Cricetulus griseus: one gene and its partners. The protein of the gene in region 2 interacts with the protein of the main gene of each other region in a pairwise test. Links are inferred from orthologs where the notes say so. Each region holds a gene or a part of one and is shown on either strand. Other genes may lie near its edges.

What was found. The genes of interacting proteins can lie anywhere in the genome.
Region 1: the proteins of Trim27 (region 2) and doublesex- and mab-3-related transcription factor 3 interact in binary tests that used the Homo sapiens proteins (3 or more experiments, as listed by UniProt). The two-hybrid records come from large-scale screens. The link is inferred for Cricetulus griseus from reciprocal best matches to the Homo sapiens genes TRIM27 and DMRT3.
Region 3: the proteins of Trim27 (region 2) and Scnm1 interact in binary tests that used the Homo sapiens proteins (3 or more experiments, as listed by UniProt). The two-hybrid records come from large-scale screens. The link is inferred for Cricetulus griseus from reciprocal best matches to the Homo sapiens genes TRIM27 and SCNM1.

What each region holds. Positions count from the first base shown.
Region 1 is NC_048596.1:35,690,677-35,694,702, forward strand, and holds the start of doublesex- and mab-3-related transcription factor 3, read right to left. Parts: upstream 2,801-4,026; coding exon 2,338-2,800; intron 1-2,337. UniProt on the Homo sapiens protein: Probable transcription factor that plays a role in configuring the spinal circuits controlling stride in vertebrates.
Region 2 is NC_048596.1:243,532,132-243,535,631, forward strand, and holds part of Trim27 (zinc finger protein RFP), read left to right. Parts: intron 1-616; coding exon 617-847; intron 848-3,500. UniProt on the Homo sapiens protein: E3 ubiquitin-protein ligase that mediates ubiquitination of various substrates and thereby plays a role in diffent processes including proliferation, innate immunity, apoptosis, immune response or autophagy.
Region 3 is NW_023276806.1:61,367,208-61,371,377, forward strand, and holds the start of Scnm1 (sodium channel modifier 1), read left to right. Parts: upstream 1-1,370; 5' UTR 1,371-1,486; coding exon 1,487-1,537; intron 1,538-1,922; coding exon 1,923-1,993; intron 1,994-2,232; coding exon 2,233-2,321; intron 2,322-2,418; coding exon 2,419-2,513; intron 2,514-2,613; coding exon 2,614-2,702; intron 2,703-4,048; coding exon 4,049-4,170. Other genes in the region: Lysmd1 (lysM and putative peptidoglycan-binding domain-containing protein 1), read right to left, coding at 390-585, 1,137-1,249. UniProt on the Homo sapiens protein: As a component of the minor spliceosome, involved in the splicing of U12-type introns in pre-mRNAs. Plays a role in the regulation of primary cilia length and Hedgehog signaling.

The sequences.
Region 1 (4,026 bases), about 210 Mb from region 2:
CTACCTCTAAAAATGCATGGCATGTCACACACAAATACTCTGCACAAAAGTACGGGAACACAGCAACAGGCGGTCTTAGCCAGGAGTTTTAATTTGACTGCCCCATTTTAATGTTACTTTAATTAATTTTAGTGTTGGCTCCCGACAGAGTTGCTTTTTATATGTGTTGCATAGAACCAGCCCACTTATTTATTTGTGTTTGTAGTGGAAAATTATAATCAGTTTATAAACCTCTCCCAAGCTTTTTTTCTTAAGGGACTGCAATTGATAAACGAAAACAAAAGTTAGTGAATGTTCAAGGTACATAGTTGTGGCCAGCTGGGAACTGAACCCTTGGTCCCTCACAGCTTAGTCTCTGGAAGTCATTCTTCTACCTTTTCCCCCTCCCAATTAATTGTTCTCAATTTGGAAGGCTCCAGCTATCCCTGAGTATTTGGTGGAAGCAGAGGGAGAGAAAACAAGCCCCAAGTCTGGTTTGTGCAGTTGAAATTCTTTGCCCCCTTTTATTCTCCTAAAGCTTGAACCCCGCTGTTGCTTCAGCTTGGCCCCCTAGTGCCTTTGCCCAATTCTTTCTCAGCTTGTTTTAGGTTTTGTGACTATACATTTTGGAGACCAATCTGAGGAGGACCATACGATGCTGAAGGAACCCCTCTTGAACAAAGACCATGGAACTCAAGGTTCCTGCACTACAGGAGGCACTGGTGGGCAGATGGGCATTGCAAAATGCAGAATTGAATTGTAACTCATCCTTCTGCTCTACCCTGGAAGACTCTAGTCCTAGAGCCAGGGAAACTGGAATGGAAAATTAAAAGATAGTAGCATGGAGTCACTTCTAGAACTGAGGTCAAACTCTCCTACTTGTTCTCACCTGAAGGAATCCTTCTAGACTCTCCAAGGCAAATCCACAAATAAGAGGCGATGAGGGGGCGGTGCTACAGAGAAATGCTTATATTCCCCTTATAGTTAAATATCCACAAAACCCGGTCAGCAACCTGCTTTCCGAACTTCAGGCCTAAATACCCTAACTGAGCCAGAAGGCGGGACTGGCCTACCATTTCACCACACATCAGGGAGTGTATATCTTCAGCAGTTGAGCTCAGCACTCTGGGGCTCTAGAAAACCTTTCTGAAGAAGATCTAGCTGTCTTTGAGGAGCTGAGGAAGTGGTAGCAGCAGCTCTATCAACAGAAAAACTGTGGGCCTTTCACTTTTAATTTCAGTACACCGGTTCAGAGGAGATGGGCTTGTTGCCTTTGTACGTTTACCCAGTGAGGGGAAACACCAGACTCAAGTCCACTGAATTCCCACTGCTGAGAGGGGCACGCAGAGAAGCCAGCGGTTCCCTTCTGAGGAAAGTGGGGAAGAGGCTTAAACTGGGGGCAGCCAGACTCAGGAAGGAGCCAGGGTGACAGAATTAGGTAGAAACTGGGGTCTGCGTACTTTCAGGGCTCAGACCACCACCACCACCACCACGCCCCAAATAAAAGCATTTCTGAGAGTAAAAGAGAACAGAGGGAAGCAAGAAGGCCCAAAAAGCTTTCCCTTGTTTCACAGCAGGCCGAGCCTGCCTAAACCTGGAAAAGTACTTGTTAAGTTTTCCCCAAGGTAGGCCAAGTTTTATTTTTAATTTCTTCAAATCACAGCAACTTGGGGAAAGGAATTAAAGGACCAAAGAGGTAATTCAACAAAAAGAGTTAGCTGGTCTCGCTTTGACGACTTCAGGAACCTTTTATCTACAGTTTCTACAGTTCTTAAAAGGCGACTTTTTTTCTTTTTCTTTTTGTTTTTTTTGTTTGTTTGTTTGTTTTTTTACCGAATTTTAAGTCAAGTCTTCAACCCAGCTACAATGTCCGAGCTCCTTTAAGTTAAAGATGTCGCCTTTTTGCTCCCGTGTCCCGGGCCAAGCCAAGATTCACCTAGAAACAGCAAAGCACTTGGGCCCTAACTGCTAACCCTCACCTATTTATCCCTACCCCTAAATGAGAGCCCCCCTAAAACCCGCCTCATCATGGTGCATTTAAAAGCGGTCCCTCCCCAGATTTCGTTTTACAAATAGTTTGTAGAATTGACGTTAAGTTTCCCCTTCAGCCCAGAGAAGGCACCAGGAGACAGGGACATACAGCCTGGATATTTGGCCGGCTCCTGGGTTCCACCTGCATCGGGTTCAGACTCTGTAAGAGACTCACTTTTCCCGGAGAGTAAGAGTCAGTGTCTGCTGGGGATGTAGGCCCAATCAGGTCAACTTCCTACAAACGTGCCCTCGCCTTCCAAACGGATCCCCAAGGGCACTCGAAGTTTCCTCCTTCGAGGCTGACCCCAGCCTAGCAGACGCTCTCACCTGGCTTGGCGAGCTGCGCGGGCAGCGTTCCGGGCTGGGGCTCCGCGGTGGTCCAGCGCAGCGCGGCAGCTGCAGCCAACTCGGCGGCGGGACGAGGCGGCGCCGGCGGCTGGGACGGCTGGGAGGCTGGCGACGACTGCGAGGCGGCGGCAGCGGCGTCCCCCGGCGGCGGGGGCCCCGGCAGAGCCCGCAGCGAGTCCGGGATGAGGCTCTCCAGGCTCTCGTTGGCCTGTTGCCGGCGAAGGGCCACCTGAGCCGCCATCACCCGCTGCCGCTCGATGATCAGGATGCATTTCTCGCAGGTGCAGTCCTTGAAGCGACAGTAGCGCTTGTGGCCCTTGAGCCAGGACAGCACCCCGTGGTTCCGGCAGCGCGCGCACTTAGGCGTGCGCTGCAGGGGCGCCCGCGGTGGCTGCGACACCGGGCCGCCCATGTACAGGTAGGGGGAGCCGTAGCCGTTCATGCCCGGGGCTCCCCCCGGCCGGCGGCAGGAGCAGGGAGGCAGTAGCTGGACCGCAGAGCTGGGAGGCCTGCTCCCGGGGGTCTCGGAAGATCGGCGGCAGCCGGAGGTACCGCAGCGGTCTCCCCGGCCCCGGAGGCGCTCGCAGCCTGAACCGCCTGGCTGGTGGCACGCGGGCCGCGTCTCTGTCTGCTGCCCCTGAGGGCGCAAGCTCCACCCGCTGGTCCTCCTTAGCCCAGACTCTCCAGCCGCTGCAAGGAGCCGGTGAGAGCTCTGATTAAGGTCTGAGCCAGCTCCTCTGCTGTTCCCTTCCTCTCTGGCAGGAGCCCGCACCTCCTCCGTCGCCCTCCCCCACCCTGTCCCTCCTCCCTCCCATCGCCACCCCCACCCCCGGGGTCCCAGCCTCCAAACACTCCCCACACACTCTTTCCTCCTCCCTAGCACCCCTCGGGTTCCTGCACCTCACCTTCTTCGCCACCTGCAGCCAACCGGGCCTCTCTGGCGGGGGCGCTCACAGCCCCCCTCCTCCATGCCCACCACTACCCTTTCCCGAGGCGGGAGGGACTGAGCCGCAGCGGCACACCCGGCTTGCTGGACGGGGGAGGGGTTGGGGGGGGGATAGCGGGAGGGGTGGGTACTTGTAAGCAGGCAGGCAGGCCTCTCCGCTACCGACTCACCGAGCTCCAGGCCTGGTCTGGAAGCACGGAGTCCTAGACCCACACTTGGCCTCAGCAATTCGGAGCTTGCAAGGGAATTGAGGGTGCACGGCAGGTCGGCCCCAGGCGGACCAGGTTTCAAGTACCCGACAAGAGGAGTGAGAGGAGTAGTGATGGTTCGGAAATTTGGGGGACTCTTTTCTTCATTTCGTTTTGCAATCTGGTTTCTCTTTCGTTGCTGCAGAAGAAAATTAATTTTTAAAAAAATCTGTCAAGCTTAAGGAAGACAACTCGTTTGATTGGGTAATTTTAATTTCCTACCACCTCATTCTGTCTTTAAAATAAACAACCACCTCTGCCCTAAAAGACCTCTGCCTTGGAAGGCCTGGAAGTGCTCTCTCGGATGTTTCCCTTAAACATGGTTTAACTTTCCGGGAGCGGAGGTAGAAGACACATTAGTGGCCCCCAAGTTACCCAGCATGATCTACTTGTTCCCGCAACGGTCACTGAATCAACAACCAAGCTCCGGAATTGCCCAGTTCAAATCCCCACAGGCACTGTGATTTATTTTCG
Region 2 (3,500 bases):
AAGAGGACACCTTCCTCAATGCCAAACCCATAAGTACCCCCCAAAATCATAGGGCATGTATCACATAAAGGGACCGAGTAAACAAGTCTAGAAAAGTGTGCTTGATCGTTTCAGATCACCCCATGGGGCACACACCTAACCTTGCCACTTCTGTATGGCTGTGTTTCATGATTCAGTCTGCCAGACAAGGTTTAATCTGATCTCATCCCTTATGGGCTCCAAGCATTTAGAATCATGTGTCTTCTGTCCCTGTTTTATTGTCTGTGCCATTTGCTCAGCTTAGCCCATCTAGTTCATACTTGCATGGCATTCTACAAGATCCTGTGTGAACATGGATTAGCTTCCCCCACTGTCTTTACCCATCATGACAGTGTCTTGTGAACCTAACTCTCACTTGACCAAATCCTTAAGGTCAAAGACTACTTCTTAATTACCATTGGAGTAATTCAGTTCATGGTCATTGTGCATCTGGTGAATAAAAACTAGAAAAAGAGTGTAGGTATCTGTTTTAGTATGAGATGAAATGATGAGGTCTTGGGGTTAAGTCATTGGGAATACTTTGAAGAGTTCTAGAAGTGATCCTTTCCTGTTCAGTACCTTTGCTTGTCATGTACAGAGCCTGACCCAGATGGAGAGGGAAAAAATTGTTTGGGAGTTTGAGCAGCTGTATCACTCCTTAAAGGAACATGAATATCGCTTGTTAGCTCGCCTTGAGGAGCTAGACTTGGCCATCTACAACAGTATCAACGGTGCCATCACTCAGTTCTCCTGCAACATCTCTCACCTCAGTGGCCTGATTGCCCAACTGGAAGAGAAGCAGCAGCAGCCCACCAGGGAACTCTTACAGGTAACCAGGAGAACTCTACAGGCAGCTTGGTGGGCACAGCAGGACAAGGCAGCTTTTGCTGTTGACAGGCAGGGTTCATGATTCCTTTATCCTTTATAACTTCTGAAGTGTTGGGCATTTTGGAAAGAAAACCTGTATACTAGAAGTTGTGACTGACAACTCAGTCCTTCAGTTGCATTGTATCATGGAAAGGGCAAAAGAAAAACCTAGTCTTTGGGCCTGTGCTGCCCTAAGTGGTTAGGGCCTCATAGATTTCATTTGCTCAGTATAGATTATAATAAAGTATTTGGACCACATATCATTCAAGATCCTTTCATTATCTTGGTTTTTTTTTTTTTTTTTTTTTTTTGGTTTTTCAAGACAGGGTTTCTCTGTGTAGCTTTGGAGCCTATCCTGGCACTCACTCTGGAGACCAGGCTGGCCTCGAACTTACATACAAAGATCCGCCTGCCTCTGTCTCCAGAGTGCTGGGATTAAAGGCGTACGCCACCAACGCCAGCTTATCTTGTAATTTTAATATATGTATGTCTATACTACCACAGCCAGAAGACATGGAGACAGGTACAGTTAACCTAAACATTGCTGTAATTTTCCTGTTTTAATATAGCTGAGAAAAGACAATGTACTCATAGGACAAGACCACAGTAGATGATCTACTTACTGCCTGCCTTCTTGTCTTATCTTCCATTGTTGAGGGCACTGGAATTAAGTGCTAGATAAATAAGCTTTCCTTAATTATGTTTTAGTTTGAAGTTTATATAGTAAGTAAATGGTTATCACATGATAATAAGTGCCATTTTAAAAGAGTCATGGGATAGTACAATTGTGAGCAGATTATGGCCTGTCTTGTTTTTGTTGGTGCTTAGAATTAAGTAGCTTTTTATATTTTAAGATGTTTGGGAAACATAAGAATGTTTTTCATCATAGGCAAAAATGTATATTGAGATGAGATGTCCATAAGTTTTTATTAGACATAGCCGTGCTCATTCATATATTTATATATATATATATTATCATTCATCACTGCTTTCCTATTACATCAGCAGTACTGAGTATTTGTGTAGATTATAAAACCTAAACTGTTTACCATCTAACTCTTCAAGAAAAAGTTTACTAACATGTTTTAGCACAGTAAGGGAAGACAACTTAAGCCTTGATGAATGTCACTTTTTTATTGCTAGAGAGAGAAGAGATAGTTTGAAAAGGAGACTACTAACCTGTGAGGCAGAATGACCAGGACAGTGGAAGTAGATGACAGTCTGGGTGTAGGTGATGCCCAGCAGTATCAGAGCTTTTTAAATGAATGTTGGGAGTTGAAAAGTGACCAGGTGGGGTGAGTAGAAACTCAGAGTAGAGACTATTTGAAGGATGGTGGTGGAGAAGATTCCTAGAGACAAGGAGAAGTCTGTGCCTTTGTCTGGAGGGACTGCTTGAAGAAACTAAACATATTTAAAGTGTGAGGAGGGTGCCTGTGGTAAGGATGGGGTGAGAGAGAGGACACATGGACACTGTCTGAAATGATGGGACATCAGAAGTATACACTACTAAGAACATTGTTGGGAAAGCATCTGCTCTCTGAGGCAGGGTAGGATCGTTTGGTCAATAACAAATTGATAATGACTGATGATAGGTAGGTGTGGATATGTGATAGTGAGGGCATGCATGTGCCATGCATGATACACGTGTGTGGACGTCATAGGATAACTGTGTAGAATCAGTCCTCTCCTTCCACCTTTATGTGGGCCCTAGGGCTTGAACTCAGGTCATCTGGCTTGCAAGGCTGGTGCTCTTACCCATTGACCCCCAGTGACTATTTATTGGATTGTTCTGCCCTTTGTGGGTGATGTTGGTTGCTTTGCCTTCTCGGGTCTTCACTGCTCCTGTGTAAGCACTGAGAAACAGAATTGGGCCTGTTTGGGTTGGGTTTTTTTTTTTTTTTTTTTTTTTTTCTTTTGCATGGAAAACACAAATTTCTCCATTTCACAAGGTCATTTCTGTAATACAAAAATAGCATTTTAAAATAGTGAGTTCGGTGACCAGCTTTCTATTTAGATCTAGAATACATTTATCATCCCCCCCCCCAAAAGAAAGCCCATTAAGTAGTCCTTTTCATTCCATTCTACCTCTAGTCCCTGTATCTGGGTTTTTACATTTTGGGTATTCAGTAAAATCATACAATATGTGACTTTTTAATTTTGGCTTCTTTTACTCAGCATAAATTTTTCAATATTCATCCACATTATGGAATTAATTAATACCTTATTTCTTTTTGTAGCTTAATGATATTCCATTGTATGTCCTACTCTTTTTTTTTTTTTTTTTTTTTTTTTTATTATGGAACTTAGATTCACCTGCCTCTGCCTCCTGAGTGCTGGGATTCAAGGCATGTGTGCCCATCTTCTATTTGTTTGTTTGTTTACTTGTTTATTTGTTTGATGTTCATTGGTTCATTGGTGTTTTGCCTGCGTATATGTCAGTGAGGGTGACAGGGAACTGGAGTTACAGACAGGTGTGAGCTGTCATGTGGGTGCTGGGAATTGAACATGGGTCTATGGAAGAGCAGCCAAGGCTCTTAACCACTGAGCCATCTCTTCAGCTCCCCCCCCCCATCCATTTTTTTTTTTTTTTTTTTTTTTTTTTTTTTTTTTTTTTT
Region 3 (4,170 bases), on a different chromosome or scaffold from region 2:
TGGTTATCCGTCTTACGTCTCACGGTGAGTCTCACGGTGAGTCTCACGGTGAGTCTCACGGTGAGTCTCACGGTGAGTCTCACGGTGAGTCTCACGGTGATAGGGGCACAAGATCCAAATAGGTTAATGGCTATAAACCACACCCCAACCACCACCCTATCCCGGCATCCAACCCAATCCAAGGAGCTGCTCCTCCCACTGGGATAGTAGGGCAGGTCTGTGAGTGTGGATAGTGCTACCCTGAGAGGTGTAAACAAAATAAGACAAAGCAGAGACCACAATATAATTAATATAACATCAGGGAAGGCCGCTTAGCAGACCACCCAGTTTCTCCTGGGCACTAAATCTCTCCTGAATGGTCACCACACCACAATCCTTGGAAGACTCACCGTCACCCCGTATTTGAGTGCTAGTCCAGCCAGGGTGTCTCCAGGCTCCAACTGATGCTCCAAGCGTCTTTCCCTCACCGGGGAGCACGATGATTGTACCAGGCTTCCATAAGAACGAGCACGGCTCCCATGCAGCAGCCCTGACCCCCCAAGTGGGGGCTGTCTAGAGGGAGAAGCCATCTCAAGATGCCAAGATCTAGGGTCACAACTGAGGAAAGCTAAGTGACCAACAGTGAGGGCCGAACCCCAGGAATGGATAGATATTCTAGGAATTCCTTCTCACTTCTCTCTTTAGTGTCCCCGCTCTCGAGAGACTACATCAATGCTCCTCTTGCTGCTGCTTACCGAGCTTGGGGTCACAGTCCGTACCCTAAGAAGGCTGCCAGGCCGGTTACATTTCTCCTTCCTCAAGACCCTTGCCCATAAATATCTTCCCTGAGTGGTCGGTCGCCGACCCCTTCGACTTTCGACGCCCTCTCCCCAACTCCTTGCAAGCCTGATCTCTGACCTTTGAACCCTAGACACCCTCATCAACACTCTCCCCTCAGTGTGTCCCCACGTCCCGCAGCCGGGCCGCCGGGAGCCCCCACATCCTCTCTGCTCCAAATCAGGCCCACCCCAGGTAGATCGTGGCTGTGGACGGTGAGCCTGGGGACTGAGAGAGTTTGCAGTACACGGTCCACTGAGATCCCCGAAGCCTCGCTCCACGCCAGGAGGGTCCCACCCTGAAACTCCGGCTCCACGTACAGGTTCTTGGTCTCCAAACACCTGGGTCCTTCGCGATGTGAGTGCCTGTACTCAGGTGAGCGGTGAGGTCTTTTAAAAACAACAAAAAAAAGAAAATAACTAAAAGACTTCATTTCCCAAAAGGCAAAGCGTTCTCAGGGCATCATAGGAAATGCAGGCACCCTCAGGGCTCTGGAGGCGGGTCTTCCGGCTCGCGCGGTGCATGCGTGGAAACGCATCCCCGGAAGTAAAGACTTAATCAGAAAAAGACCGGAAGCAGGGAAGGCGATAACCTACTCTTCCTACGGTGGCCCGAAGGAGAGGCAAAGTAGGCGTAGGAGAATTTATTATTTCTAAGACTCACAGTCGTGATGTCTTTCAAGAGGGAAGGTGACGACTGGAGTCAGCTCAATGTGCTCAAAGTAAGCCCTAGTGAGAGTCTACCCACGAGCAGTGGTGGCGCACGCTTTGAATCCCAGCACTTGCGAGGCAAAAGCCGGTGTGTCCGTGTTGCGTTTGAGGTTCGAGGCCAGCCTGGTCCACACAGCCAGCTCTAGAACAGTCAAGGCTACACGAAGAAACCCTGTCTCGAAAAATCAAAGAACTAGAGAGAGGGAGAGCCCAGCTTCAGTCGCGCTTTGCATTGTTTTGTTGCTCTGGCGACATCTGTGGGAGGGGGTTTCGGGGGCCAGAACTGAGTGATGCCTCCTCCTTCTTACCCTATGGTCTGCTCCATTTGACTCTTTATCCCTGTTATTTCTTTTCATCCATCCCTCATATTCGTTTCTCCTGTCCTGCTCTCTGCAGAAACGAAGAGTTGGAGACTTGCTGGCCAGTTACATCCCAGAGGATGAGGCGCTAATGCTGCGGGATGGACGGTGAGAGCAGAGTGGATCAAGCCTGGGGATTTGCTATCAGAGGCTCAACAGACTTTGGTTTCTAAGGAGATCAGGAGTGTAATAGATCCTTTGGTTGGAAGTGAAGATTGGAAGAGGTGGCGATCGGGAGACCTGGGCGTTGGTGGAGTGCTTTGACAGGCATAGCCCCTAAGTAGGAACACCCCAACCACCGGCTCTCCAACACATACGGGTTTGCCATTCACTTCTCTTTTCCCTAGCTTTGCTTGCGCTATCTGCCCCCATCGACCAGTCCTGGACACGCTGGCCATGCTGACTGCCCACCGTGCAGGCAAGAAGCACCTATCCAGTAAGTACAGGAGAAGGCGGGGAGTGGAGGAATGATAGAGAATACACTCTGAACATTTTGTCAGTCTACTTGATGTTGTGCTTGCTTTCCTTTTCAGGTTTGAAGCTCTTCTATGGCAAAAAGCAATCAGGCAAGAAAACAGAGCAAAAACCAAGACAGCAAAATGAATTGAAGACAGAAAGCAAAGCCGAGGTGAGAGATCTGGTCAGGTGTTGTTCAGGCAGGGCTGTACTGCATGCAACAGGACTTTTGCCTAACATCTCCAACTGTGTCTTCTTCTCTTGATAACCAGGCACCTTTGCTAACCCAGACTCGATTAATCACCCAGAGTGCTCTGCACAGAGCTCCTCACTATAGCAGTTGCTGCCGGAGGAAGCACAGGTCTGTAGAGGGGGAAATCCGGAAGTGGGAAAGGGTAGAAGGAAATAGATGGTTCTGAAGTTACTGCTCTCCAAACTGTACTCTGAGAAACACTAATCTTGTGGAGATGTTGTTTAAAGAAAAATGATAGTTTGTGGTTTGTTTTGTTTTTGTTTTTTGTTTTGGTTTTTCAAGACAAGAGTTTCTCTCTGTAGCTTTGGAGCCTATCCTGGCACTTGCTCTGGTGACCAGGCTGGCCTCGAACTCACAGAGATCCCCCTGCCTCTGCCTCCTGAGTACTGCAATTAAAGGCGTGGGACACCATCGCCTGGTGATAGTTTGTGATTTTAAAATAAATTTTAGCCGGGTGTTGGTGGCTCACACTTTAATCCCAGCACTCCGGAGACAAGGCAAGTAGATCTCTGATCTATAGAGTGAGTTCCAGGACAGCCAAGTCTACACCAAACAAACAAAAACCCTGCCTTGAAAAACAAAATAATGCACACACACACAAAAAAATAGTAACATTATTGCTGGATGGTGGCACACGCCTTTAATCCTGGCACTCCAGAAGCAAGGCCAGTGGGTCTCTGAGTTCCAGGCCAGCCGGGGCTACAGAGGAAAAAAAAAAAAAAGTAACATAATCTGGGCATAGTGGTACACTTTTTTGTTTGTTATTGAGAGGGGATCTCCCTTTGTAGCCCTGGCTGTCCTGGAACCCTGCTATTTAGACCAGGGTGGCCTCAAACTTACAGAGATCTGCCTTTCTCTGCCCCTTAAGTGCTGCAGGTACTAAAAGTGTGTACCACCATACCTGGTTATGGAAAATCTTGAGGCAAAAGCGTAGAACTATTAAGCTGGCTTTTCTCAAGTTCCTAATTCCAAAATCTTTCATATGTAAAATATTTAAGATCTTATGGAACTCAAGCTGGGTGTGGTGGTATACACTTTTAATCCCAGTACTTAGGAGGCAGAGGCAAGTGGATCTCTGTAAATTTAAGGACAGCCTCATCTACCTAGTAAATTCCAGGTCCATCATATGTACTCTATCTCCAAAAAAGCAAACAAAAAAACCTCAGGAACTAGCCAGGCAGTGGTGGCTCACGCCTTTAGTCCCAGCACTCTGGGAGGCAGAGGTAGGCAGATCTCTGTGAGTTCTAAACCAGCCTGATCTACAAGAGCTAGTTCCAACAGCCTCCAAAGCCACAGAGAAACCTTGTCTCAAAAAACCGAGGAAAAGAAAAAAAAAAAAAACAAAAAACTCAGGAACTCAGTTTAGGAAACACTGCTCTTCAGGCTTGGGAGGCACGGGGAAGCTGCTACTTTCCTTCTGTGCATTTAACAGGCTTGGTTTCTTTTCTCCCCAGACCAGAGGCTCCTGCTCCCTCTGTCTCCAGTTCTCCTTTGCCTGCCCCAGAGGTTGGACTCCAGAGTGCAAAGATCAGTAGGGAACCTGAGACTAAGGCAGGATCACATGCCAAAGAGTCAT